Linked DNA regions of Macaca fascicularis. The protein of the gene in region 1 interacts with the protein of each later gene in a pairwise test. Links are inferred from orthologs where the notes say so. Each region holds a gene or a part of one and is shown in the gene's direction. Other genes may lie near its edges.

Region 1 (3,500 bases):
TTGCGGTGAGCCCAGATCACACCACTGCACTCCAGCCTGGGCAATAGAGTGAGACTCAGTCTCTAAATAAATAAATAAATAAATAAATAGAATAAATAAAGACAAAAATGAATTAGTTGCTAATATTTAAAAAACAGACAATTTCACCTAAAATTCTAGATTTTGCCTGGCAGTAGTTAGTTGAGGCAAGTGAGAGCTGCTCCTGGGACAATGGACATGGTCTTCTCTTGGAGGCAGTCTCCACGGCCCCCTGTTGTCTTCCACCCCAACCCACAGGAACTTTTGTTGGTCCTGAAGTCATTTGAGTTTGCCATCCCTACTCACAAGGGTTTTAGTTTTGCAGAAACGGTTATTTGTCCTTCAGGAATATCAGTAAAACATTGTGTGTAGCTTTTTTAATAATTAGAGCCATATGGCTGTAAAATTGGCTGAGCAAATCCTTCATTGGTTACTTCCATCTTCGTCTAGTAGCCCAGTCTCCTCCTGTCTTCTCATGGCCAGCCTCACTGAGACACAGCCCCTGTCACACTCTTATCTTCTTGAGACCAAAGCCTCTCAAACCAAACACTTGGATTCTTCCTACAAGAACATTTCCCCTTCTCTTGAGCTATATCCTATGCATGATTGCCAAGTAGATATAATCAAATGTGTCTTCCATATTCAAATTTGAGTCTCTAAATAATAATAATATTATTTTTTGAGACACAGTTTCACTCTTGTCGCTCAGACTGGAGTTCTATGGCACGATCTTGACTCACCTGCAACCGCTGCCTCCTGGTTCAAGCGATTTTCCTGCCTCAGCCTCCCGAGTAGCAGGGATTACAGGCAGCCGCCACCACACCCAGCTAATTTTTGTATTTTTGGTAGAGACGGGGTTTTACCATGTTGGCCAGGCTGGTCTCAAACTCCTGACCTCAAGTGATCCACCCTCCTTGGCCTCCCAAAGTGCTGGGATTATAGGTGTGAGCCACTGCGCCCGGCCTCTAAATAATTATTAAAATGAAATCCAGGTTATGTGTTGAAAACATTAGGTACATGAAAAATACATGAACTTAAGCAAGGATACGCTGAATGAGAATGAGGGGACAGCTTTTTTCCTTTTTTTGATACAAGGTCTCACTCTGTTACCTAGGGTGGAGTGCAGTGGCATGGCATGATCATAGCCTACTGCAGTCTCAACCTCCTGGGCTCAAGCCTGCCGAGTAGCTGGGACGACAGGCACACTCTGCTATGCCTGGCTAATTTTTTCTTTTTTTGTAGATGGGGTCTTACTATGTTGCCCAGGCTGGTTCAAGACCTTGGCCTCCCAAAGTGCTAGGATTACAAGCATGAGCCACCATGCCTGGCCCAGGGATAGCTCTTATTTGAGACTTCAACTGTACTAAATGGAAGGGAGGCAGGGATGGAAAATTTGGAGGGGGGGGCAACATCTTCATTGAAATGTTGTGGTCCTATTCGTAAACTCTTTTATGAGAAAAGCAACATTTATTTCTAGGGCTTAAACTTGTTATAAAAAAGTTAAACATAGGAGATAGGAACTCCTAAGTAAAATACATGAGGAGTCTTATATTAAATTACAGCTTCACTTCAGTCAGAGTCAATATAGTATCTGAATTATTGCATTTTCCCTAATAGAGGCTTCCAAAGAAGTGAAGTGTAGAATTTAGTATGCTGGAGTTCTCGGTTATAAATGTAGTGTTCTGTTTTCTTGTCCACTGAAACAATCCAAGTAGAAATGGAAATCTATTTGGGATATAAATAAACCAGTCAGCAGACTGTCCTGTGGTAGCATAAATGCTCATAAGTTTCAAATCACAAGGGACAAGAGTAGTGTTCTGAGGGCAGAGAATAGCTCTCCTTGAGTACCGTGTTATTTTGTGGAAGGAGCAAGAAACTGTCATTTCACTGAGTGGCTGATTCACATACATGAATTGCTGTGATCATAAGACTGTCTTTTTTTTATCTTTTGCTGAAATTCCTCAGGTATCATTAACCCAATCGAAGCCAAGCAGAGAAAGGGAAAAGGTGCTGTGGGGGCTTATGGATCCGAGCGCACCACGCAGTCAATGCAAGACTTCCCTGTGGTTGACTCAGAGGAAGAAGCTGAAGAGGTAACTGGAAGTCAGGAGACATGGGTGGGTGGTGTCCTGTCCATTTCTAATGGCTGTTCATTTATCCCTTCATTCTGTTAGTCCTCAGATGTTTATTGTACACGTACCATATGCCAGGTGCTGGGCTGAAGGCTAGGTGCACCATGATGAGAGGGCGCACGGTGGACAGAGAGTAAACAAGCAGCTATGGTGTGGAAGTGGCAGTTGAAATGGCAGAAGGTGCTAGGACCTGCCTAGACAGAAAATAAGGTTGGGGGTTGGGAGGTGGTGTTGACCTACTTTTATAAATAGGCTGGTCAGGGAAACCTTTGAGGAAAGGAAACATTTCAGTTGAGACTTGGCAGAAGGGTGAGCTGAGAAGCCTGAGGACACTGAGAGGCTCTGAGCTTGCCGGTTAAGAAACCATAAAGGAAGCCGTTGTGGTGGGAGGGTGGTACACAAAGCAGAGGGGAAGGAAGTGCATTCAGAGGGGTAGGCGGGCCACAAGATGGGCCTTGACAGCCATTTTTAGGTGCTTGGGTTTCATCCCAAGTGCAGCAGGGAGCCATCTGCTGGCAGCTGTGTGTCCCTTTTCCCCAGTGATAGAAGGGGCCAGCTTTGTTGATTGAAGTATTACTCTTTTCCCATTTGAATCTATGGGGGAAAGCAGGATGCTGCAAAGAAACACGTTACTCTTCTTGTCACTGACCTTTTGATGACACAGTCATTTGATAATGTGGGATTGACCGCTCTGAGTCAGGGGTTCTCAGACTTAGAAGCCTACAGGTGCCAGGCACACCACAGAAGCAAGTAAGATGAGCCAGATGCTAGACAATAAAGAGTGGTGGGGACTGTGGCACAGAGGTGAGGCCTTAGCCTGTCTAGAAGGTAAATCTTTATTCAGCTCTAGGTGATTGTTGCTTATGAGGATGTGGGCTTAGTATTGCCTGATCCTCTGATTTTCCCAAAGTAGCCAGATGTGTAGATACTTTTAGAGAAAAAAATGACAAGTCTTAACCAGTATGAGAAAAACATAATGACAACTCCAAAACCAACTTCTGTGGGCTGGATTCCACTACCATCATGCTAAGAAAGTTTACAAATTTGCGTTGGGCCGCATTCAAAGCCGTCCTGGGCTGCGGGTTGGACAAGCTTGCCGTAGCTCCTCCTGTAGCTACGGCAGGTACATTTTGCAGACCCTGATTATAAGAGATACCTTTGCTTTGAGAGTTAGGACCTGCTTATTTATCTTCATTTTAAAGTGAGAAACAAGATATTGTGTACTTAAAAAATCGTTTACATTGCATTTCTAAGTTTTACATGAGGTACATTTAAACTAGTATAGTGCCTGCCCATAGTAGATGCTCAATACATGTTGTTTCCTTTATTTTTGTTTCTCCCTCCCGTCTG
Region 2 (2,998 bases), on another chromosome or scaffold:
CCAGCTGCCCCTTGGCTAGAGACCAGGGATGACAGCCGAGCCCCAGGTAAGGGGACCCCAGACCAGGAAGCTCTGTGGAAAGACTCAGGCAAGGAACTTGGGTTTCTGAGTCATTTGTCATATGACGGTTCCTACTAACTGCAACTTTCGCCTTTTCCTTTGCAGGATATGTTTGATCCCCATGGCTGGTCTGAGGACTCCTACTATGAGGCATTAGGTAGCCTTTCATCCCTCCTCCCATATACCTCGTCCGCCCACCCAACTGTCCCTTTATCCAGTCAGTTGGTTATCCAGGCAACACGTATTTCAGGGTCTCCTTTACGTCAGGCCATGTTCAAGGGGCTGGGTACAGGCCTGAATGAGACAGACCCACCCCTGCCTTAAGAGGCTTATGCCACAGCAAAGAAGATGCCAGTAATGCATCACGCCAGTAATGCCAGCATCGATGAAGTGTTGGTGATGACAGAGTTGCTGGGTACAGGGGAGCTTTGGCAAGCAGGGTCATCTAATCTGGCCAAAGGGATGGGAAGGTCTCACTGACAAAACTGTGTTCCAGCTGAGGTTTGAAGAGGCAGAGGGGCCAGGCAGGTGCAGGCAGAATGTTCCGAGGCCAGTGAGAGGGTGGCTTATTCTTAAGGTACCAGTTTGGGAGAACTGGGAGGAATGTCAAAGGGCCCAACCCCTAGACCATAGGTCTTGAGCCTGTAGCCCATGGCCCAGATCTTGGCCTGTAGAGGTGCTTTGTTTGGCCTTCATGAATGTTACTGTCTTTTATTTTGAATTCATTGCCAACATTTTACATAATAATCTCTGATTCCAGCTTCTCTCAGTCAGTAGCAAGGTAGTCCCCATTGGGCCTGTATTTCCGTGTGCGGCAGTCCACAGGAGCTCAGGAGTAGCTGACCCTTCCAGACACAGACACGGGGCATGCAGCCCTCCAGTCTGGAGCTGAAGGCCCCTGCCCTACGCCAAGCAAGGGCTGGCTTCATTTTGCCTAGCACGAAGAACACTGAGCCCATGAAGACCTTTAGCCCACTGAAAAGAACGCAGGGATCAGAGTCGGCTCCCTCAGCCCAGAGCTGCTCAGGGGCCGCCTTTGTAACAGCTTCTCTTGTCTTCATAGCCAAGGCCCAGAAGATTGAGATGGACAAATTGGAAAAGGCCAAAAAGGAGCGAACGAAAGTAAGTGATGGCAGACCTCCTAGATGGAAAAGGCAGATGTGAAGTGCATGGGTCCTGCTGGCTGAGCCCAGAGGTTGTCCAGGCTGCCCCCCGCCCTGGCCCCATGTCAGGGCACAGGCCCTGCTCTGGGTTTGCGGTGCTCGCCTGCTGCCTTGCCCTTGGAGTCTTGCTTGCTGCGTTGTGACCCCCTTCCTCCCCTCAATTGCAGAACCTTGGGAGGCTTTGTCTATTTTGGGTCGTGGGTGCCCTCTGTGGCCTGAAGGGAGGGAAGTAATTCCCTAAGAGAGTGCCGGGCCCAGCTTGCTCTGCTCAGTGAGTTTCTTGGCCTCCAGAGCTGCCCTCGGTGGCCCGCCTGGTTGCTACCTATTAGGTCCCATGTTAGGGCCCTGAGCGCCACTTGTTCCCCAGCAGTGTGGTCTGGGTTCTTCAGGGAGCATCAGTTTGGCTGTGAGACCAAAGTGTTATCTCTGGGCCTTGTTCCCTTTGTGACCAGTCTCGGAGCCAGGCATCAGGACACCAGCTCCTCCCACGTCTGGCTCGGCCTGACCATCCTCAAGTAGCTGCGGCCTCCAGACTGCTTCCCTCACCCCAGGCAGAGGGGCTCTGGGGCCTGGGCATGCTGGTGGCCCTCTGGAGTCACTGGCTGCTGGGCCAGGAACGTGGGAGCTGGTGCAAGGGGATAATCGGGGTTTCTCATTCTTAACCCTTGATTGAATCTCCCTTCTCTCTCTTTCCCTCTCCCTTCCAAACCCCAGGCTTGTTGCAGGGACGTGTCTGCAGCGCCTGGGGACCGGAGCTGTCCTTCCCCTGTGCGGGCGGGCGCCGCCTCCTCCTGGGTGTGAGGAGGAGGGGCCTGGCCAAACGGTTCTGGGCATGTGAGGTGGGGCGGTGGGCCGGGGGTGCCGGGCATGTGCAGAGACCTGGTGATGCCGGGAGGGATCCAGTACTGTTTGGAAAGTTCTTTTAAGAGCGAAAAGCCCCTTTGGGTTCTTAGACACCTCACCCTCCCCCAGATGGTCAGAGCAGAGTTCATTTCCAATACCTCTTTTGTGTAGTGCCAAGCTCCTGTCCCCCAGGAGCTGACGGATGGCAAAAGGCTATGGACACCCAGCTTTGCCCAGCCTCATTCTCTTCCCTCTCCCTCTCCAGATTGAGTTTGTGACGGGCACCAAGAAAGGCACCACGACCAACGCCACGGCCACCACCACTACCACTGCCAGCACAGCTGTTGCAGGTAGATTGCAGAGCTGCCCTGCCTCCCTGCCTCCTGCCATACACACGGAGCCAGTGTCTCCCTGGCTAGTTTGGGCAACAGACAACACGTGGATCTAGGCCTAGGCTCAGCCTTGCTCTTTTCTAAGCAGGGACTTTGAGAACCAGCTTTGGAGTCTTGGGGGGGCCCCTTCGGTTTCTGCTCCCTAGGCCCGTGCTGGCCTGCAGGGGAAGGGAAGGAGAGCGCTGCTCATTAGTGGATCGCGATCCTGACTTCTGCTTTATCTCCAGATGCTCAGAAGAGAAAGAGCAAGTGGGACTCGGCTATCCCAGTGACGACGATAGCCCAGCCCACCATCCTCACCACTACAGCCACCCTGCCAGCTGTCGTCACGGTCACCACCAGCGCCAGCGGCTCCAAGACCACCGTCATCTCTGCTGTGGGCACCATTGTGAAGAAGGCCAAGCAGTGACCTGAGGGGCCACCCTAGGACTCGAAAGGACTGTGCAGCCCAGTGACCACTGCCCAGTGGGAGGCGCCACTTTGTATATTTCAGGATTGGGACCTGCTCCCCTGATGCCACCTGAGAGGAGCTTCTATGTG
Region 3 (3,995 bases), on another chromosome or scaffold:
TTTATCTCTATTGTGATGTGTGGTGGGAAATACAAATCCAGTTTTACCTTTGACAAATGGTTGTCATCCCAGCACAACTTCTAAGTTCTTCATTTCTCTGTTGACATGTGGTGTCCCCTTCATCATTTACTCAATATCCTTACATACCTGGATCTATTTCTGGTCTATTCTTTCTCTCTGTTAATACAATAAAATCATATGGGTATGTTCCAGTATCTGATAAGGCTGACCCTCACCATTGTTCTTTTTCATGGGTTTCCTGGCTATTCTTATTTTCCCACTTGAACTTTATAATCAGTTTATCTAATTCCAGAACAATATTTGTTGATATTTTTGTTGGAATACTAGAGTTGCATACGTATTTAGGGAGGATTGACCTCTTTGAGTCTTTCTAAGAACCGCATATTGCTTTGTTTGTTTAAATGTACATCTGGCCTTTTAGGAGCTTTTTAAAGCTTTCTCCATAGAAGTTTTGTTCATTTCTTGTTAAGTTTATTCCTAGTTTCAATTTTTTGTTGCTATTGTAAATATAGTCTTCTCTTCCATTATATCTCGTAACTCGTTATCATTGATTATTCACATATATGAAGGCCATTGATTTTAGTGTGTTAACTTTATATCTTGCTAATTTACTAAATTATCCTTTTTTTTTTTAATAGTTTTTCCATTGAACCGGGTTTTCTGACATATAATCATACATCGGCGCATAAAAGAGAACATCAAGAGGATCGTGGATGGCGAAATAGCCGGCAGAAACCAGCCCGCTGGCCCTTGAGAAGTCTGTGTGGAAGAAATCCCTACGCCACCGCTAAGCGCGGATTTGGGAAGCTCCCCGGCAGAAGGTCCCCCGAGAACATCCCTTTGAGGCATCTCTAACCTCAGAGACACAGAATCCCAAAGTGAATGGAGACGCAAGGGATTTCCCTGTCTTAAGATCAGTTCTACAAGCCTTGACCACCCATCGGGCCGGGGGAAGTGTGGACAATGGCTGAGTAAAGAAGAGGAGAAAGATAAACCCGTTCCGTTTACCCGCGGGTCTGAGAGCCATCATCACCCTTCCTCTCACGTAGACGCGCGGAAACACTACTACCGAGTTGAAAGCCCCTTTCGCCCCCTTCCTAGAGCGGCCGCGGAAGTGCGCCCCACGCGGGTTGGTTCTCAGCCCTCCCGTGGCCGCTTCCGGCCTTTGTGGGTCACTTTTGATGGGTTCCGGGTCCCAAAAGGGTTCGAGGCCTTTAGGGGGGAGTTCTCTTCTGGCCCGGGGGGGCCGCAGGTGAGCGATGTTGTGCTCTGTATGCTGCGAGGAGGTGGGCGGAAGATTGCTGTATTCTAGTTGCTGGGCCCCTCGGCTCTGGCCGGTGCAGAATGGACCCTGGTCCTCCCAAACCCAGGTGGATCCGCGGGAAGCTCTCCCTCCCCAAAGTGCGCTGGGAGACTAGGATGAGGGATCGGCTCCCAGTCTGCAGCAATTCCGTGCTGTAAGGCCCATACCTACCTTCCGCGTTTGCCTCGGCGTTGTATCCTTGGGTTCAGCGCGTACCGACATTTCTAGACAGTGGTGGTTCACAGACGCTGGCCGGCGTCCCAGGGCCTTCCTCACTTCAGATTATAATCACAGACCATGAGGATAGAGGGAAGGCTTAAAGAGTAACCTCTTCAGCCTTCTCACTTTATAAATGAAGAATAAGGAGCGGAAAGTTTAAGTCCCTGAGGAAATAAATTTACATGACTTTGTTGCTTTTGTGATTTCATGGTTTCTACCAGACATCTGGATATTCAAAAGATAAAAGTAACTAATCAAGGATGTCCTAACCTTTTATCATTATTGTTTACTTGATCTAAATGTTAGTTTTATTCCATTTGCCTTTCATTTAGGACCAAATGAGAATAAGTTTACTAACAAGTCTTACTCTTCTTCTTAAAGTCCTGAAACAACTTGGCACCTTTCCTTAGTCTTTCTCTTTAAATTGGTCTAATCTTAAGTCTTTTCTATCAGAGTATTTTTCTGAGTAAGTATCGTACATTAACCTGGAGGCCAGATTTCAAAGATCATAGTTAAGTTCTCAGAATTTGCAGTTTTACTTTATGGTGGAGTTTGTGTTAATAATGATGGCTTATTCCTCAGGACTGTCCAGGAATAAATTTTCCAGGGGAGATCTTACTTGAAACACCGGTAGTTCTGGCACAGCTAAAATGGCATCTACTTGGGCTATCCAGGCCCACATGGACCAGGATGAACGTTTGGAAGTAAAGATAGAGGAGAAGAAGTATACCACCAGACAGGATTGGGACCTGCATAAAAACAACACCCATAGCAGAGAGGTCTTCCGTCAGTACTTCAGACAGTTCTGCTACCAGGAGACGTCTGGTCCCCGTGAGGCTTTGAGCCGACTCCGAGAACTTTGCCATCAGTGGCTGAGGCCAGAGACCCACACCAAAGAACAGATTCTGGAGCTGCTGGTGCTGGAGCAGTTCCTGACCATCCTACCTGAGGAGCTCCAGGCCTGGGTGCAGGAGCAGCATCCAGAGAGTGGCGAGGAGGTGGTGACTGTGCTGGAGGATTTAGAGAGAGAATTGGATGAGCCAGGAGAGCAGGTGAGAAAAAAGAGGTGACTTCTGTTTGAGAAAAGATAAATTGTGGATTTCTAGGCCAGAGTGAAGAACAGCCATTTTTTCACAAAGCATGTTTTTTGACAGTTTGATGCATCAGAAAGGGGCATGAGTTTCAGGGAAAGTTGGCTAATGTGGTCCCAACTTATTTATAACTTTTCTGTGGAAGGATTTTATATTTCTCTATTAAGCTACAAAATTCTGTTTGATAAATATGCTGCTCATCTTAGAAAACTTCTAAGACAAGAGAAGGTATCAGAGAGATGAAAGTAGCAGGATGGGAAGCAGTCTCTTGGAGGGGCATCACTCTGTTGCACAATACAAATAATTAAGAATTAAGGTTTTGCAGATATATCCATTGCTCTGACTCCATTACAGGGTTTTAAAATGGAAAAATTAACTATTTCAGGGGAATGAGATGTGGGAGTACAATGGAAAGTTAGTGAGGAGAGCAGGGTGGGGTTCTGTGTTTCTTTGAGTAGTAGAAAGCCCAGTTAGGCTGGAAAGGTGAATTCTGAGTAGAAGAGTTGAGATAGTGTCCAGGACCTTGAATCTCAACCTCTGGAATTGAGATTTTATTCTGTAGACAGACGCCCCTAACCTTTTCTTCTTGAGTCTAAATGAGCTTTACTAATTGTAAGATGTAAAAGAGAACCAAATTATATAGAACTTTTTTGTTTTGTTTTTAATACTAAAATGAGACAGTGGTTGTCAACCAGTGCCAATTTTGTGCCCCAGAGGGCATTGGCAATGTCTTGGGACATTTTTGGTTGTTATAACTCAGGGAGGTGCTCCTAGTATCTAGTGGGTAGAGAGGACAAGGCTAATGCTAAGCCTCTTACAACACACAGAACAGCCCCAGACAACAGAGAATTATCTAAACCAACATGTCAGTAGAGCCAACACTAGGAAACCCTGATATAAAGAGTTTGAAACTTAGGGAAATAATGAAATGGAAGTATAATCTAACACTGTGATACAAAATACAATAGAGAGGGTAGGAACATGTGGCAAAAAGATCTAAGTTTGAAATAAGATCACGAGGCCAGGCGCAGTGACTCATGCCTGTAATCCTAGCACTTTGGAAGGTCGAGGGAGGTGGATCACCTGAGGTCAGGAGTTCAAGGCCAGCCTGGGCAACATGGTGAAACCCCGTATCTACTAAAAATACAGAAATCAGCCGGGCATGGCGGCACGTGCCTGTAATCCCAGCTACTTGGGAGGCTGAAGCAGGAGAATCACTTGAACCTAGGAGGCAGAGGTTGCAGTGAGCCAAGATTGTGCCACTGTACCCCAGCCTGGGCAACAGAGTGAGACTCTGCTTAAAAAAAAAAAAAGAAACAGGATCATGAAAGTGTGATTACCAAGGATGAAGCATATCTTAG
Region 4 (2,241 bases), on another chromosome or scaffold:
AGGGAAGGAAAAGAAGACATGATGCAAAAACCAAGTGGAAGCTGTCACAGTATACTTTCTCATGTATGAATTATAAAAGAATATTTAATAATGACTTGATTCATTGTGAACTAATAAATGTATTTTTGTTTTGCAGAAGTCCACAAAAGGAAGATAGGATACCAATGGCAGATGAGTATTACGAATATAAGCACATAAAAGCCAAACTGAGACTATTAGAGGTCCTCATCAGCAAGCAAGATGTGGCCAAAACTATTTGAGGTTCAGGAAATGTTATGATCACTTTCACCCATGATATAAAGTAAAGTTTATTTTCCTCTGCCATCCTTGCTAAGTAGTTTTGACACAATGAAAATGGAAGCACTTTAGTGGTAGTATTAGCTGTTTTCAAGAAGGAATAGCAAGTTTAATTATATACAAGGAGAAGGGATTTAAATGGGGGGAAGGATACAACAGGTAGCCTTATAATTGGGAAAAAATTCAGTGTCCTCCATGCCAAGCAGAAAACTCATAGTCAATACAAGTATTTTAAAAAATGTCTAATATTTTATCAAATCTAAATAACATAGCTAGGATGCTTGTTAGGGAAAGTTTATTTAGTATCCAAAGATTGTTTATGTTGATGTATGGAAAAGAGCATGATTTTTAAAAATCAATCAGAGGAGGAAAAGAAATTCTGCTTTTCAAGTAGGAAGGAATGTACCTAGCAAGAAAGTAATTTATTTGAAACTTCTAATGGATTTTTGAGTGATAAAACATTTACTACCTTGTCCCTTAAGTCTGCTAGGCTCTCAGTACCCTAAAATAACCTAGATTGTGTTACTGCTATTTTTTTTATTTCTCTATAAAAATAACACATTATTTTATCTGGTATTTGAAATTTTACATTTCTGGTTACCAAAGTTCATTCTGATAGCATGTACTTTGTGAATTATTATCTTTGTCTATAACTGACAGATGTTTATATTAAAATAAAATATTGTATTAAAAATTTAAAATAGGTATTTTGGATAGATATGTGTCTGCAGTATATAATCTAATATGTCCATAGTATTATTGCTAATCTTTTTGTTTACTATAAGACGATATAACTATTTTTTCATTGGGAATATACATTTTTCTTAATGTTCCAACATCTATACTTTGTAAAGTCAAAACATTTCCCATGAGCTGTAGTTATTCTTCCTTCTGTACAAAATGAAAGGTTTGGAAATTGCCCTGATACCTTGAAAAAGAAGCCAGAATATTTATTTGCTTCATCAACTTTAGTGTATATCATTTTGTGTTATTTTATACTAAAACATGTTTATTATTTTCATTTTTGTAAAAGGAAGTAAAAGGTCAACATTTTCCCTCATGTACCAACCTTGTTTGTATTTCTATTTTCTGTAACATTTAAGTATGATGTTGAAGAAATTCACATTTTCTTATAGTTTGGATGGGAAGACTATTGACTATTTCAGAAACAGACTATTTCAGAGGCTTATTGTTTTCTCTGTATTTACCTAATATTTTATAACTTTTATGAATCAGAATAATGTCCTTCATACATTTGTTTAATTGAAGTCATCTACTTGTAACAGGACAGATACACAACTATTTGAGGTTTACAAATTACATCTTTGATAAGGGAAATGGTTTCGTGACATGTACACAATTGCTATTAAAATGTAACTCTATATATTCTATATGATTGTAAATATTTTATACAACAATACAAATAAAATATTTTTCTATTATATTTATTATGTTGAAACACAGTAGTTGTTTCCTGTTAGCTAATATAAATAACATAAATAACACTGTCAAACAAGAAGTTGGAAGTGCTGACAATTCTAGGCTTCAAGATTTAACTCATGCTGCAATTACACCCTTTCATGCGGTTTGGAGTTATCCCAATATTTGTTCAGTAGATTAAAATGAATGCATATTTAAACACCATTTATAAGCCATTATTGTGTACTTTGCTAAAGCGGTCTATATAACTGTTTTGTTATGTTTGGCATAAAGGAAACATAAAAACATTGCAGCATCTAGGCAATAAAGTGTCAGAAGGAGAACTTAGGGTATTTCATCATTGAAAGTAGTGGGAGGGGTAGGGAATAGGAAAACACTAAAATGGCTCTGAATGGAATTTGGAAAGTGGTAGTTCGTTTTTGGTGACAGTGGCATGTGCATGCTTCAGTGGAAAACATCTGGTGATGAAAATGGACAACAGGACCAATGCTCCTAATGGAGGAA
Region 5 (3,500 bases), on another chromosome or scaffold:
CTAAATTTTGTATATTTCAGTAGAGACAGGGTTGACCATGTTGGCCAGGATGGTCTCAATCTCTTGACCTCGTGATCTGCCCGTCTCGGCCTCCCAAAGTGCTGGGATACAGGCGTGAGCTACTGCGCCCAGCCTCTTAAGTATTTATGTTAAAATTAATTCATTCCACACACATTTATTAATATTTTCCTGTAGGGAACTTTACTCATCTGTAAAATGGGGAATGTCATACCTGCCTAATGACATTCTTGTAAGGATTAAATAAAAGGTGTAAGGAAGATAAGCACCCTTTTAGAGTGATCCAGCCAGGGGAAAATTGCTGATGCAAGAGAGGAAATGAGTTGTTGGAGTGGTGGTGTGAGTAGAGGAGGGGACCTGAGGCCCAGTGCCTAAGAAGGGGGCTTGGCTGTGGTAACCATATGGCTAGGTCTGTGTGACTGGAGGAGAGGATGGGGCAGGTGTACTGGCAGATGTGGAGCTTCTGCCCCTGATTCTCTGGTTTCTTCTGTGTTTTGAGATTTGATGAGGACGATGAATAGTTGTCTGGAAGGAGAGGAGTGTGAATAGCATGTGCATTGTGTTGAGATTGCTGCTTTTCCTGAAATTGGTGGCCGTGAATTTAAAGTGAGACTCTTCGGCCGGGCGTGGTGGCTCACGCCTGTAATCCCAGCACTTTGGGAGGCCGAGGTGGGCGGATCACAAGGTCAGGAGATCGAGACCATGGTGAAACCCCGTCTCTACTAAAAATAGAAAAAATTAGCCGGGCGCAGGGGCGGGCGCCTGTAGTCCCAGCTACTCGGGAGGCTGAGGCAGGAGAATGGCATGAACCCGGGAGGCGGAGCTTGCAGTGAGCCGAGATTGCGCCACTGCACTCCAGCCTGGGCGACAGAGCGAGACTCCATCTCAAAAAAAAAAAAAATTGAGACTCTTCAAGTAGGGTTGTTTCAGTACTGGTGTAAAGCAGGAAGGTGCTTTACTAGGGTTGCAGTATTACTGGGGAAGGGCCAAGAGAGTTGAGGGTGTAAGAAATCTAAGCCAGGTAATAAGGTAAGTGGTTATTTTAAAGGAGAGTGGAAGGATGGTTGAGTCAATGGATTGGAGGTCCTTATAGGGTAAGAGATTTTCTGAGGATCACAGATATTGATTGGAATGAGCTAAAAAGATAGGTGATGGTAGTCCTGGCCTGGGGTGCTGGAAATTGAGATAGTGGGTGTGCTGTCTGGTAGTGACAAAGTCTAGATCTGCGCTGTCCAAGATAAATTCGTCTCTAGCTAATTGACATGTGGCCAGTCTGAATTTGAATGTGCTGTAAATGTAAGATAGACATCAGATTTTGAAGACTTAAGCAAAAACAAAGAATATAAAACATCTCACTTCTTTTTTTGTTAGATAGTGTCTCAGTCACCCAGGCTGGAATACAGTGGCGTGATGTCCTGCTCCTAGGTTCAAACGATTCTCCTGCCTCACAGCCTCCCAAGTAGCTGGGATTACAGGCATGTGCCACCAAACTGGCTGCTTTTTTGTATTTTTTTTAGTAGAAACGGGGTTTCACCGTGTTGGCCAGGCTGGTCTTGAACTCCTGACCTCAAGTGATCTGCCTGCCTCGGCCTCCCAAAGTGCTGGGATTACAGGTGTGAGCCACCGCTCCCGGCCTCCCTTTTTTACATTGATTCCGTGTTGAAATTGTAATGTTTTGGATATTGGGTTACAATAAATATATTACTAAAATTAATTTCACCTGTTTTTTACTTTTTCAGTGTGGCCAGTAGAATATTTTTAATTATTTATGTGGTTTGCATTATATTTCTGTTGTATAGGCCTGGATAGGGTCATGGGAGGGGAACTGAGCTGGAGAAAGGAGTGAGTTTGTGGAAGAACTGAAGGACTGGGAGACCAGGGAGTCAGAAGGATTATCTGTTGATACTGAAGTGGCCACAAATGAGAAAAGTAATTGTGCTGGGGAGAGTGCTGATGAACCCAGTGCTAACGTTTTGAAGGAATGTAAGGGAGCAATGGGGGTCTGTTAATAGGCACAAGGTAGGGTAGCAGGTGGTCTCATCCTTGGGCATGAGTGTCCAGCAAATTGGGGAAATGCAACAGCTTGAAGTGGCTCTAGTGGCCCAGCGTCAGAGCTGGAATAGGAATTGGCATCTGCTGGCTGCGTGGCCCCTGCTTGCCCTAGTGAGTGTCCATTTCTCTGTCCCTATGGTGGAGGCTTCGGGGTTAGTGTCAGTTCATGGGAGGAGTGTGTAAGCAACAGCACAGCATCAGCCCATGAGAGCACTCCTGGTCTGAAACGGTGCGGTTCAGGGCAGCTCAGGAGAGCCTAGACCCGAATAGTGATCCCCACCAGGAAGGCCTCACAGGATGCTCACCTGCCCTCCCTATCCCTGTCCCCAGCTGGAGGAGCACCGGAACTCACAGAAGCAGATGAAGCTCCTGCAGAAGAAGCAGAGCCAGCTGGTGCAAGAGAAGGACCATCTGCGTGGTGAGCACAGTAAGGCCGTCCTGGCCCGTAGCAAGCTTGAGAGCCTATGCCGTGAGCTGCAGCGGCACAACCGCTCCCTCAAGGTAGGCCTGGGCCCCCTGGAACAGGTGACTCTGATTTCCTTGACTTCCACTTAATGTTTCTTTCATGGGCTTTCCTCTTAAAAAGTAATGGAGGCTAGGCCTGGGTGCAGTGGCCCACATAAGTGATTAAAAATCTTCTGGCCACTCTAAAAAGTAAAAAGAAACAGGTGAAATTAATTTTAGTAATATATTTAACCCAACATCCAAAACATTACAATTTCCACATGGAATCAGTGTAAAAAAGCAAGGCTGGGCATGGTGGCTTACGCCTATAATCGCAACACTTTGGGAGGCTGAGGTGGATGGATCACTTGAGGCCAGGAGTTTGGGACCAACCTGGAAAAAGAAACCCCATTCTACTAAAAATACAAAAAATAGCCAAGTGTGCTGGCACATGCCTATAATCCCAGCTACTTAGATGGCTGAGGCACGAGAATTGCTTGCACCCGAGAGGCTGAGGTTGCAGTGAGCCAAGATTGCACCACTGCATTACAGCCTGGGCAACAGAGTGAGACTTGGTGTCAAAAAAAAAAAAAAAAAAAAATGCAGACTTGTGGCATAGAAATACACTTTCTCGGCCGGGCGTGGTGGCTCACACCTATAATCCCAGCACTTTGGGAGGCCGAGGCGGGTGGATCACGAGGTCAGGAGATGGAGACCATCCTGGCTAACACAGTGAAACCCCGTCTCTACCGAAAATAAAAAAAAAAATTAGCCGGGTGTGGTGGTGGGCGCCTGTAGTCCCTAGCTACTCGGGAGGCTGAGGCAGGAGAATGGCGTGAACCTGGGAGGCGGAGCTTGCAGTGAGCCGAGATCGTGCCAACTGCTCTCCAGCCTGACTCCGTCTCAAAAAAAGCAAGACTCCGTCTCAAAAAAAAAAAAAAAGAAATACACTTTCTCAATAATACCTTACGTTAGAGAATGCTGCT
Region 6 (4,279 bases), about 16 Mb from region 1:
CATCACTGGGCAATCGGCATGGCCATCCTCTGAGGCCAGGGTATAAGAGAGCAAATAGGACTGGAGCTGGACTTGGAAGGGTCAGCAGGAGATAGGATTTCAGAGAGCAGAGGTTCGGTTGATGTGACTGTCAGAACAGGAGCAAGGCCAGAGTGGCTGCCAGGGAGCCTGGATGCATAGGAGTCTCTGGTGAAGGCTAGTGGACCACGGTATTCCCAGGGGCCACAGCAGCCCTGACACTGCTTGACTGCTCTAAGCAAAGAAAGATCAAAAAGAAAAAACAAGCAAACAGGACAGTAATGGCAGCTGCTGATGGAAAATCCCAACCCCTCACCCAGTTTCCAGGCCTAAGCTAGGCCTCAGACCCGGAGGTCACTGACTGAAAGGGAGGCTGGGTCCCCTCGAGACCACAAAGATTTGCAGTAATAGTCTCCTAATTTTCCCCAGAAGGGCCGGCAGCATTTCCAAGAAGCAACTGTACACTGGGAGAAGAGAAATAGTAGATATATCAAGGGCTGGTGGGTACATGGTCTGAGAGGCCCTTTGGAGTCCAGATAAGTGGAGTCCTTGGACTTCTTTTCTCCCCTGTCTACACTTGCTCCCTTGGCGATCACACCGTCTCCTACCTTTTTCTCTTCTCTTCTCTTCTCTTCTCTTCTCTTCTTTTCTTTTCTTTTCTGACGAAGTCTTTCTCTGTTGCCCAGGCTGGAGTGCAGTGGGGCGATCTGGTTCCCTGCAATCTCCGCCTCCTGGGTTCAAGCGATTTTCCTGTCTCAACCTTCCGAGTATTTGGAATTATAGGCATGCGCTACCACACCCGGCTAATTTTTGTACGTAGTAGAGACGTGGTTTCACCAAGTTGGCCAGGCTGGTCTGTAATTCCTGACCTCAAGTGATCTGCCCCCCTCGGCCTCCCAAATTGCTGGGATTACAGGCATGAATCACCGCACCCGGCCCCTCTCATAACTTTCAGTAACCTATCCACGGCCAGTCCCAGGTGTATTGCTCCAGGCCTGACACCTCTGATGTTCAGTCTGTTCAGTCTCATATCAAACTGCCCACCTGACATCTCCCCTGAGAGACCTAATGGGCGTCTCACCATGGCCCACAGAGAACTGATCCACTCGATTTTCCCCAAGCTGGCCCCTCTCCTGCAGTCTCCCCATCTCAGTCAATGGCAACACCATCCTCTTAGTTGCCTCGACTGAAAACCTAGCAGCCATCCTGGATTTCTCTCACAGTGCCTATTCAATGTGTGAATGCATGAGTGGAAAGCTGAGTTCGCACTCGTGACTGGCCGGGGTCAACGCTGACGTTCCCTCCCACTTCCGCGCGCTGATTTGACTCTGAGCTGATGAAGGTTGGGCCCTGGCGGGCGGGGCCGGAGAGGCGGGCCTGGAGCCAGGGGGCGGGACAGACGCCACGGAAACGCGATCGCGCCGGCGCCGAACCACAACTCCCGGCGGCCCCTGCGCTCCCGGGCGGCAAGATGGTGGCGCGCAGGAGGAAGCGCGCGGCGCGGGACCCGGAGGACTGTATCCCCAGCCCACCGGGCTACGCAGGTGAGGGGCTCCGGGACGCGAGACCGGGGGGGCCAGGCATCGCCGGGAGGTGTTTGGGGGTTGGCGGCGGCCGGGGGTCCCCAGGAGCGGCCGCACGGTTGGGTGTGAGCTCCGGCGGCCTCTGGCCCCAGCTTCGGAGTCCCGAGGACCCACGCGGCGCCCTTCTGCCTGCCCACTCTCTCGGGGCGAGCCTGTCTTGGTCCACGCTTCCCTTGGGTGAGCCCACCACTGTGCACCTCTCACCCAGGGCAAACCCATTTCCGTCCACATTCGCTCGTCCAGGTGAGCCCATCCCCTTCTCATCGCCTCTGCTTCTAGTCCAGCCCCCATCAGCTCTTACTGGGCTGTTACGGGCCCTCCTACTTGGTTGCCCTCCTCTTTCTCTTGCCCCTGCTTCTGTTCTCCACCCACGTACCAGAATGTTCTTTTTAAGGCCATTTAAGTTAGAGCATGTCTCACACGCCCACGATAGGCCCCACACCCACTGCATTCCTTCCAGTAGCTTCATCAAGTCGCTTCTAAAACAAAAAGCAGACTTCTTAACCTGTGTGGGCCACATGGTCTGACTGGTGCTGACCTAAAGCTCTTTCTGTTCATCTGAGGCAACATGCTTTTTCCCCCTCTGGGTTTTTGCACTTGCTGTAACAGTTTGTTGCACAGTGGCGTTTCTGTTCTGAGCTTTAATGTTGCTTCCTCAAAGAGGCCATCCCTGAGAGCCTATGGAAAGAAGACCTCTGCCACCCCATGACCCTGTAATGTTTCTTTCATAATTGATACAAGCTTGCTGTATGCTTACTTGGTAATTGTCTTCTCCGTTATTGCAACTGAGCTTCCTGAGTTCAGGGACCGCAGCTCTATGCCAACCGGTAGTCTGACGGAGGTGTGAGAAAAATAGAAGCAGTTCCTAGCTTTATGAGATTACAGTCATGGGTGTGGCAGTGATTAACCAAAGAATCTCATCAGTATAGCCTACAGACTGTTAAGAGAAGCTGTGAAGGCACAGGCAGTGGGGTCTGACCTGGCAGGAGGGGCGGAGGGTGATGCTAAGGCTCTCTTGAGGAAGCGAGGTTTGAGCTAAACCTGAAGGTTAGCAGGAGGGAAGAGGGTGATGCACTAGGTAGAGAGGCCAGTGTGTGTGAGGCCCTGGTGTACCCAGGGGAACAGGGAGAATCCAAGGTGGTGGGGAAGATGGTACGAGAAGAGGCCACAGTGGCAGGCAGGGTCTCACGGAGCTTCTAGCCACGGTTAGGATTTTGGTGTTCACTCCAAGAGCCGCAGGGTTCGAGCTTCCCTTTCATTGCGCCCCCATCTGTAATCATTGCCCATTTATCTTCTCTTTCCCTGCACCACCTTGGGAGGCCCTCCTGGGCAGACTCTTAGAGCCCGCACAGGCTTTGCCAAAGGGTAGGGTCGGGGGGTTGGTGAAGGGATGGATGGATTGATGAGCAGATAGGACTAGACAGGGATGTGGAGAAAGGAAGTGTGAATGTCTTGCTGACCTCAGCTCAGGGTAGCCTGGCCATCCCTCCCCTCCCATTTCCTTTCCAGCTATTCCAATCAAGTTCTCTGAAAAGCAGCAGGCTTCTCACTACCTCTATGTGAGAGCACATGGCGTTCGACAAGGCACCAAGTCCACCTGGCCTCAGAAGAGGACTCTTTTTGTCCTCAATGTGCCCCCATACTGCACAGAGGTGAGCTAGTGTCTGGGAGGGGACCTGTGGGCTCTAGGTGGGGGCTCCCTTGGCCTCCACCAAGTCCTTGGTGGTGAGACGGACACAGCTAATGGGAGCCCTAGAGGAGAGTGTCCAGAGGGCTACCTTGATCTCCAGTCAGGAAACGGGTTTTTCAAAGATGTCTTTAAAAGTATAATCCTGCCAGGCATGGTGGCTCATGCCTGTAATCCCAGCACTTTGGGAGGCTGAGGCCGGTGGATCACCTGAAGTCAGGAGTTCAAGACCAGCCTGGCCAACATGGTGAAACCCTGTCTCTACTAAAAAACAAAAAATTAGCCAGGCATGATGGCGTGTGCAGGTAGTCTTGGCTACTCGGGAAGCTGAGGGATGAGAATCCCTTGAACCCGGGAGGTGGAGGTTACAGTGAGTCGAGATTGCGCCACTGCATTCCAGTCTAGGTGACAGAGTGAGACTCCATCTCAAAAAAACCCCAAAAAACCCCCAAAATTAGCCGGACATGGTGGCACACGCCTGTAATCCCAACTGCTTGGGAGACTGAGGCACAAGAACTGCTTGAACCTGGTAGGCGGAGGTTGCAGTGAGCCAAGATCGCGCCATTGCACCCAAGCCTGGGCAACAGTGTGAGACTCTGACTCAAACAAAAAAAAGGAAAAAAAAGTGTAATCCTAAGTAGCCCAAGGTTTTTTTACGTATTACCCGAAGTTGTTTGAATTACGTGTTTTCTTTGAGACTATACGTGTCCATAATTTGAAAGTAGGAAAGTATAAAAAAATGAAAAGTGCCTCTAATTTTATCCAAACACAACTGTTAATTTTTTTTTTTTTTTTTTTTTTTTTTTACAAAAACTAAACTAAGGGAATTGCTGGATTTTTTTTTTTTTTTTTTTTTTTTTTGAGACAGACAGAGTCTCCCTCTGTTGCTCAGGCTAGAGCACAGCGATCGTGGCTCACTGTGACTTCCGCTTCCCAGGTTCGAGCTGTTCTCCTGCCGCAGCCTCCCGAGCAGCTGGAATTACAGGTGCCC
Region 7 (3,500 bases), on another chromosome or scaffold:
GTGATCCACCTGCCTTGGCCTCCCAAAGTGCTGGGATTACAGGCATAAGCCATCATGCCCGGGCTAGCTATGTGATTTTTATGTTGTATTTTGTTAATAGAATTCTGCTAGCCTGGGAAGTAAGACCCCATTTCTTCCAAAAAAAATTAGTAGGGCATGGTAGCATGCACCTGTAATCCCAGCTTTGGGAAGCTGAGGCAGGTGGATCAGTTGAGCCCAGGAATTCAAGGCTGCAGGGAGCTATGATTGTACCACTATGTTCTGACCTGGGCAACAGAACAAGAACCTGTCTTAAAAAAAAAAAAAAATTCTTCATAGCATACTCTATATTAATATAATTAATTTTTCCTTTACCAAAGCACTTTAAAATTGCCTTTAGCACATGCATGATGAAATACTTTCTTAAAGTGCTTTTCTTTTAGAAAATTTTTTTGGCCGGGCGCGGTGGCTCACGCCTGTAATCCCAGCACTTTGGGAGGCCGAGGCGGGCGGATCACAAGGTCAGGAGATCGAGACCACGGTGAAACCCCGTCTCTACTAAAAATACAAAAAATTAGCCGGGCGCGGTGGCGGGCGCCTGTAGTCCCAGCTACTCGGGAGGCTGAGGCAGGAGAATGGCGTAAACCCAGGAGGCGGAGCTTGCAGTGAGCCGAGATCGCGCCACTGCACTCCAGCCTGGGCGACAGAGCGAGACTCCGTCTCAAAAAAAAAAAAAAAAAAAGAAAAATTTTTAATTTTATTTTGAGACGGAGTGTTGCTTTGTTGCCCAGGCTGGAGTGCAGTGGCACTATCTCGGTTCACTGCAAGCTCCGCCTCTTGGGTTCACACCATTCTCCTGCCTCAGCCTCCCGAGTAGCTGGGACTACAGGCGCCCGCCACCACACCTAGCTATTTTTAAATATTTTTAATAGAGACGGGATTTCACCATGTTAGCCAGGATGGTCTTGATCTCCTGACCTCGTGATCTGCCAGCCTCGGCCTCCCAAAGTACTGGGATTACAAGCGTGAGCCACCGTGCCTGGGCTGTTTATTTATTTTTTAAGACGGGGTTTTACCATGTTGCCTAGGCTGATCTTGAATTCCTGGGCTCTAGCTATCTGCCCACTTTGGCCTCTGAAAGTGCTGCGATTACAGTAGGTGTGAACCACTGTGCCTGACCAAAATGTTCCTGTTTAATATTTAAATATGTCTTATATACCAGCAAATATGATGACTTGCTCAAGAATTGTAATGAGAACTAAAATCAACATCTGACTCTTCATCAGTAATCTTTTCAGAGGATAAGGAAAGCAAAATAGATGGCTTGCTAGGGTAATGGGATTCCTTTTTCTTTCTCTTTTAGTCTGGGCATTTTTTCATTAACTTTTTTTTATATATGCAAAAGACAAATCTTTAGTTCTATGAACAATTTGTTTAGTAAAGCCCCAGTCAACATGATTATTTTTTCAACAAATGTGAATTTATATAATGATAGCCATTTTACACGGTGATTTGTAGTTTTAAATGTTTTAGTATTAATCAGATTAGTTAGCTCTTTTTCTGTTTATTAGGGGTAAGTTACCTTTCTCTACTGAAGTGACAATTATACATCCATGACTGCTTTGACCAGAATATAAGAGGGTATCCGCAATCCAGCATGTAATTAAATTATAACGTGAATTACCCTTTCTTGAATGTGATATTCTTTCAGTCTCATTCCTATTACAATATAATTTTCACCCTGACTTAGGTGTTAGGAATGCTTCAGAGACTAGTTATTTTTTATTTCTTACATGATTTTTTTATTCTTTTTTTTTTTTTTTTTTTTGAGACAGAGTCTCGCTCTGTCGCCCAGGCTGGAGTGCAGTGGCCGCATCTCAGCTCACTGCAAGCTCCGCCTCCCGGGTCTACGCCATTCTCCTGCCTCAGCCTCCCGAGTAGCTGGGACTACAGGCGCCCGCCACCTCACCCGGCTAGTTTTTTGTATTTTTTTTTTAGTAGAGACGGGGTTTCACCGTATTAGCCAGGCTGGTCTCGATCTCCTGACCTTGTGATCCGCCCGTCTCGGCCTCCCAAAGTGCTGGGATTACAGGCTTGAGCCACCACGCCCGGCCGATTTTTTTATTCTTACCCATATTCTGTTTTTCCCTACTCCTAGTACTTACAACCTTTTATTCTGTGGTTCCTGTGGGATTCCCATTGGTTTCCATCTGTATTCTACCCATGCTGCCCTGGCTGCCTTGAGAGGTCACTTCTGCCTTTCCAGTGACAAAATGGTGTGGTGAGTAGACTTAGATATTGATCATCAAATACACTTATTTATTTATTTATTTATTTATTTAGAGACAAAGTCCATCAAATAAATTTTAAAAGATTTTTCAGGAAAGAGAAAGTGGGCTGAGCACAGTGGCTCATGCCTGTAATTCCAGCACTTTGGGAAGCTGAGGCGGGTGGATCACTTGAGGTCAGGAGTTGGAGACCAGCCTGGCCAACATGGTGAAACCCGTCTCTACTAAAAATACCAAAATTAGCCAGGTGTGGTAGACACCTGTAATCCCAGCTGCTTAGGAGGCCGAGGCATGAGAATTGTTGGAACCTGGGAGGCGGAGGCTGCTGTGAGCCGAGATTGCGCCGCTGCACTCCAGTCTGAGAGACAGAGTGAGATTCTGTCCAACTACTTGGGAGGCTGAGGCAGGAGAATTGCTTCAACCTGAAAGGTGGAGGTTGCACCGTGAGCTGAGATCGTGCCACTATACCCCAGCCTGGGTGACAGAGCAAGACTCTGCCTCAAAAAAAAAAAAAAAAAAAAAAAAGACAAAGCGTTTGTACCAAAGAAGATGCTAAAGTCAGGCACTGTCTTTGACAAAAAGATAGCAGTGGGCCAAGTGTGATGGCTCACGCCTGTAATGCCAGTGCTTTGTGAGGCCAAGGTGGGAGGACTGCTTAAGGGCAGGAGTTCAAGACCTCCATGGGCAATATAGTGAGACCCCTATTTTTTTATACAAAATAAAAAAAAATTAGCTGGATGTGGTGGTGGCCTGCCCCTGTAGTCCCAGTTACTTGGGAGGCTGAGGTGGGAGGATCACATGAGCCCAAGAGTTCAAGGTTACAGTTTGCTGTGATCACACCACTGCATTCCATTTTGGGTGACAAAATGAGACTCCATCTCTTAAAAAAAATAAAAAGATAGCAGTGGGACCAAAATATAATCTTATAACATTATGATTATCTTCCATGTCTTCTTATACCACATCTTAAGAAGCATCCATGGAAGAATTCAGAGGGTAGTCTTTCATTAAATAAACTTTTTGCCAGATGTGGTAGTGTGTGCCTATAATTCTAGTTACCCAGGAGGCTGAGGCAGGAGGATCCCTTGAATCTTGAAGGTGTTTGAGATCAGCCTAGGCAACATAGTGAAGCCTCCTATCTCAAACTGCCCCCTTAAAAAAAAAAAATAAATAAAAAGAACATTGTATGACCAGGCGCAGTGGCTCACGCCTGTAATCCCAGCACTTTGGGAG

What was found.
Region 2: the proteins of TFIP11 (region 1) and SAP30BP interact in binary tests that used the Homo sapiens proteins (3 or more experiments, as listed by UniProt). The two-hybrid records come from large-scale screens. The link is inferred for Macaca fascicularis from reciprocal best matches to the Homo sapiens genes TFIP11 and SAP30BP.
Region 3: the proteins of TFIP11 (region 1) and ZSCAN12 interact in binary tests that used the Homo sapiens proteins (3 or more experiments, as listed by UniProt). The two-hybrid records come from large-scale screens. The link is inferred for Macaca fascicularis from reciprocal best matches to the Homo sapiens genes TFIP11 and ZSCAN12.
Region 4: the proteins of TFIP11 (region 1) and FAM13C interact in binary tests that used the Homo sapiens proteins (3 or more experiments, as listed by UniProt). The two-hybrid records come from large-scale screens. The link is inferred for Macaca fascicularis from reciprocal best matches to the Homo sapiens genes TFIP11 and FAM13C.
Region 5: the proteins of TFIP11 (region 1) and TXLNA interact in binary tests that used the Homo sapiens proteins (3 or more experiments, as listed by UniProt). The two-hybrid records come from large-scale screens. The link is inferred for Macaca fascicularis from reciprocal best matches to the Homo sapiens genes TFIP11 and TXLNA.
Region 6: the proteins of TFIP11 (region 1) and ribosomal RNA-processing protein 7 homolog A interact in binary tests that used the Homo sapiens proteins (3 or more experiments, as listed by UniProt). The link is inferred for Macaca fascicularis from reciprocal best matches to the Homo sapiens genes TFIP11 and RRP7A.
Region 7: the proteins of TFIP11 (region 1) and OIP5 interact in binary tests that used the Homo sapiens proteins (3 or more experiments, as listed by UniProt). The two-hybrid records come from large-scale screens. The link is inferred for Macaca fascicularis from reciprocal best matches to the Homo sapiens genes TFIP11 and OIP5.

What each region holds. Positions count from the first base shown.
Region 1 is NC_088384.1:25,179,325-25,182,824, forward strand, and holds part of TFIP11 (tuftelin-interacting protein 11), read left to right. Parts: intron 1-1,983; coding exon 1,984-2,111; intron 2,112-3,500. UniProt on the Homo sapiens protein: Involved in pre-mRNA splicing, specifically in spliceosome disassembly during late-stage splicing events. Intron turnover seems to proceed through reactions in two lariat-intron associated complexes termed Intron Large (IL) and Intron Small (IS).
Region 2 is NC_088390.1:82,109,014-82,112,011, forward strand, and holds part of SAP30BP (SAP30-binding protein), read left to right. Parts: intron 1-165; coding exon 166-217; intron 218-1,123; coding exon 1,124-1,182; intron 1,183-1,937; coding exon 1,938-2,018; intron 2,019-2,331; coding exon 2,332-2,416; intron 2,417-2,685; coding exon 2,686-2,867; 3' UTR 2,868-2,998. UniProt on the Homo sapiens protein: Plays a role in transcriptional repression by promoting histone deacetylase activity, leading to deacetylation of histone H3.
Region 3 is NC_088378.1:144,782,104-144,786,098, forward strand, and holds the start of ZSCAN12 (zinc finger and SCAN domain-containing protein 12), read left to right. Parts: upstream 1-1,195; 5' UTR 1,196-1,391; intron 1,392-2,125; 5' UTR 2,126-2,193; coding exon 2,194-2,595; intron 2,596-3,995. UniProt on the Homo sapiens protein: May be involved in transcriptional regulation.
Region 4 is NC_088383.1:87,376,320-87,378,560, forward strand, and holds the end of FAM13C (protein FAM13C), read left to right. Parts: intron 1-136; coding exon 137-260; 3' UTR 261-1,741; downstream 1,742-2,241.
Region 5 is NC_088375.1:202,841,963-202,845,462, reverse strand, and holds part of TXLNA (alpha-taxilin), read left to right. Parts: intron 1-2,400; coding exon 2,401-2,571; intron 2,572-3,500. UniProt on the Homo sapiens protein: May be involved in intracellular vesicle traffic and potentially in calcium-dependent exocytosis in neuroendocrine cells.
Region 6 is NC_088384.1:9,066,975-9,071,253, forward strand, and holds the start of ribosomal RNA-processing protein 7 homolog A, read left to right. Parts: upstream 1-1,479; 5' UTR 1,480-1,489; coding exon 1,490-1,562; intron 1,563-3,110; coding exon 3,111-3,253; intron 3,254-4,279. Other genes in the region: SERHL2 (serine hydrolase-like protein 2), read right to left, coding at 627-749, 1,100-1,223. UniProt on the Homo sapiens protein: Nucleolar protein that is involved in ribosomal RNA (rRNA) processing. Also plays a role in primary cilia resorption, and cell cycle progression in neurogenesis and neocortex development.
Region 7 is NC_088381.1:17,877,052-17,880,551, reverse strand, and holds part of OIP5 (protein Mis18-beta), read left to right. Parts: intron 1-2,137; coding exon 2,138-2,260; intron 2,261-3,500. UniProt on the Homo sapiens protein: Required for recruitment of CENPA to centromeres and normal chromosome segregation during mitosis.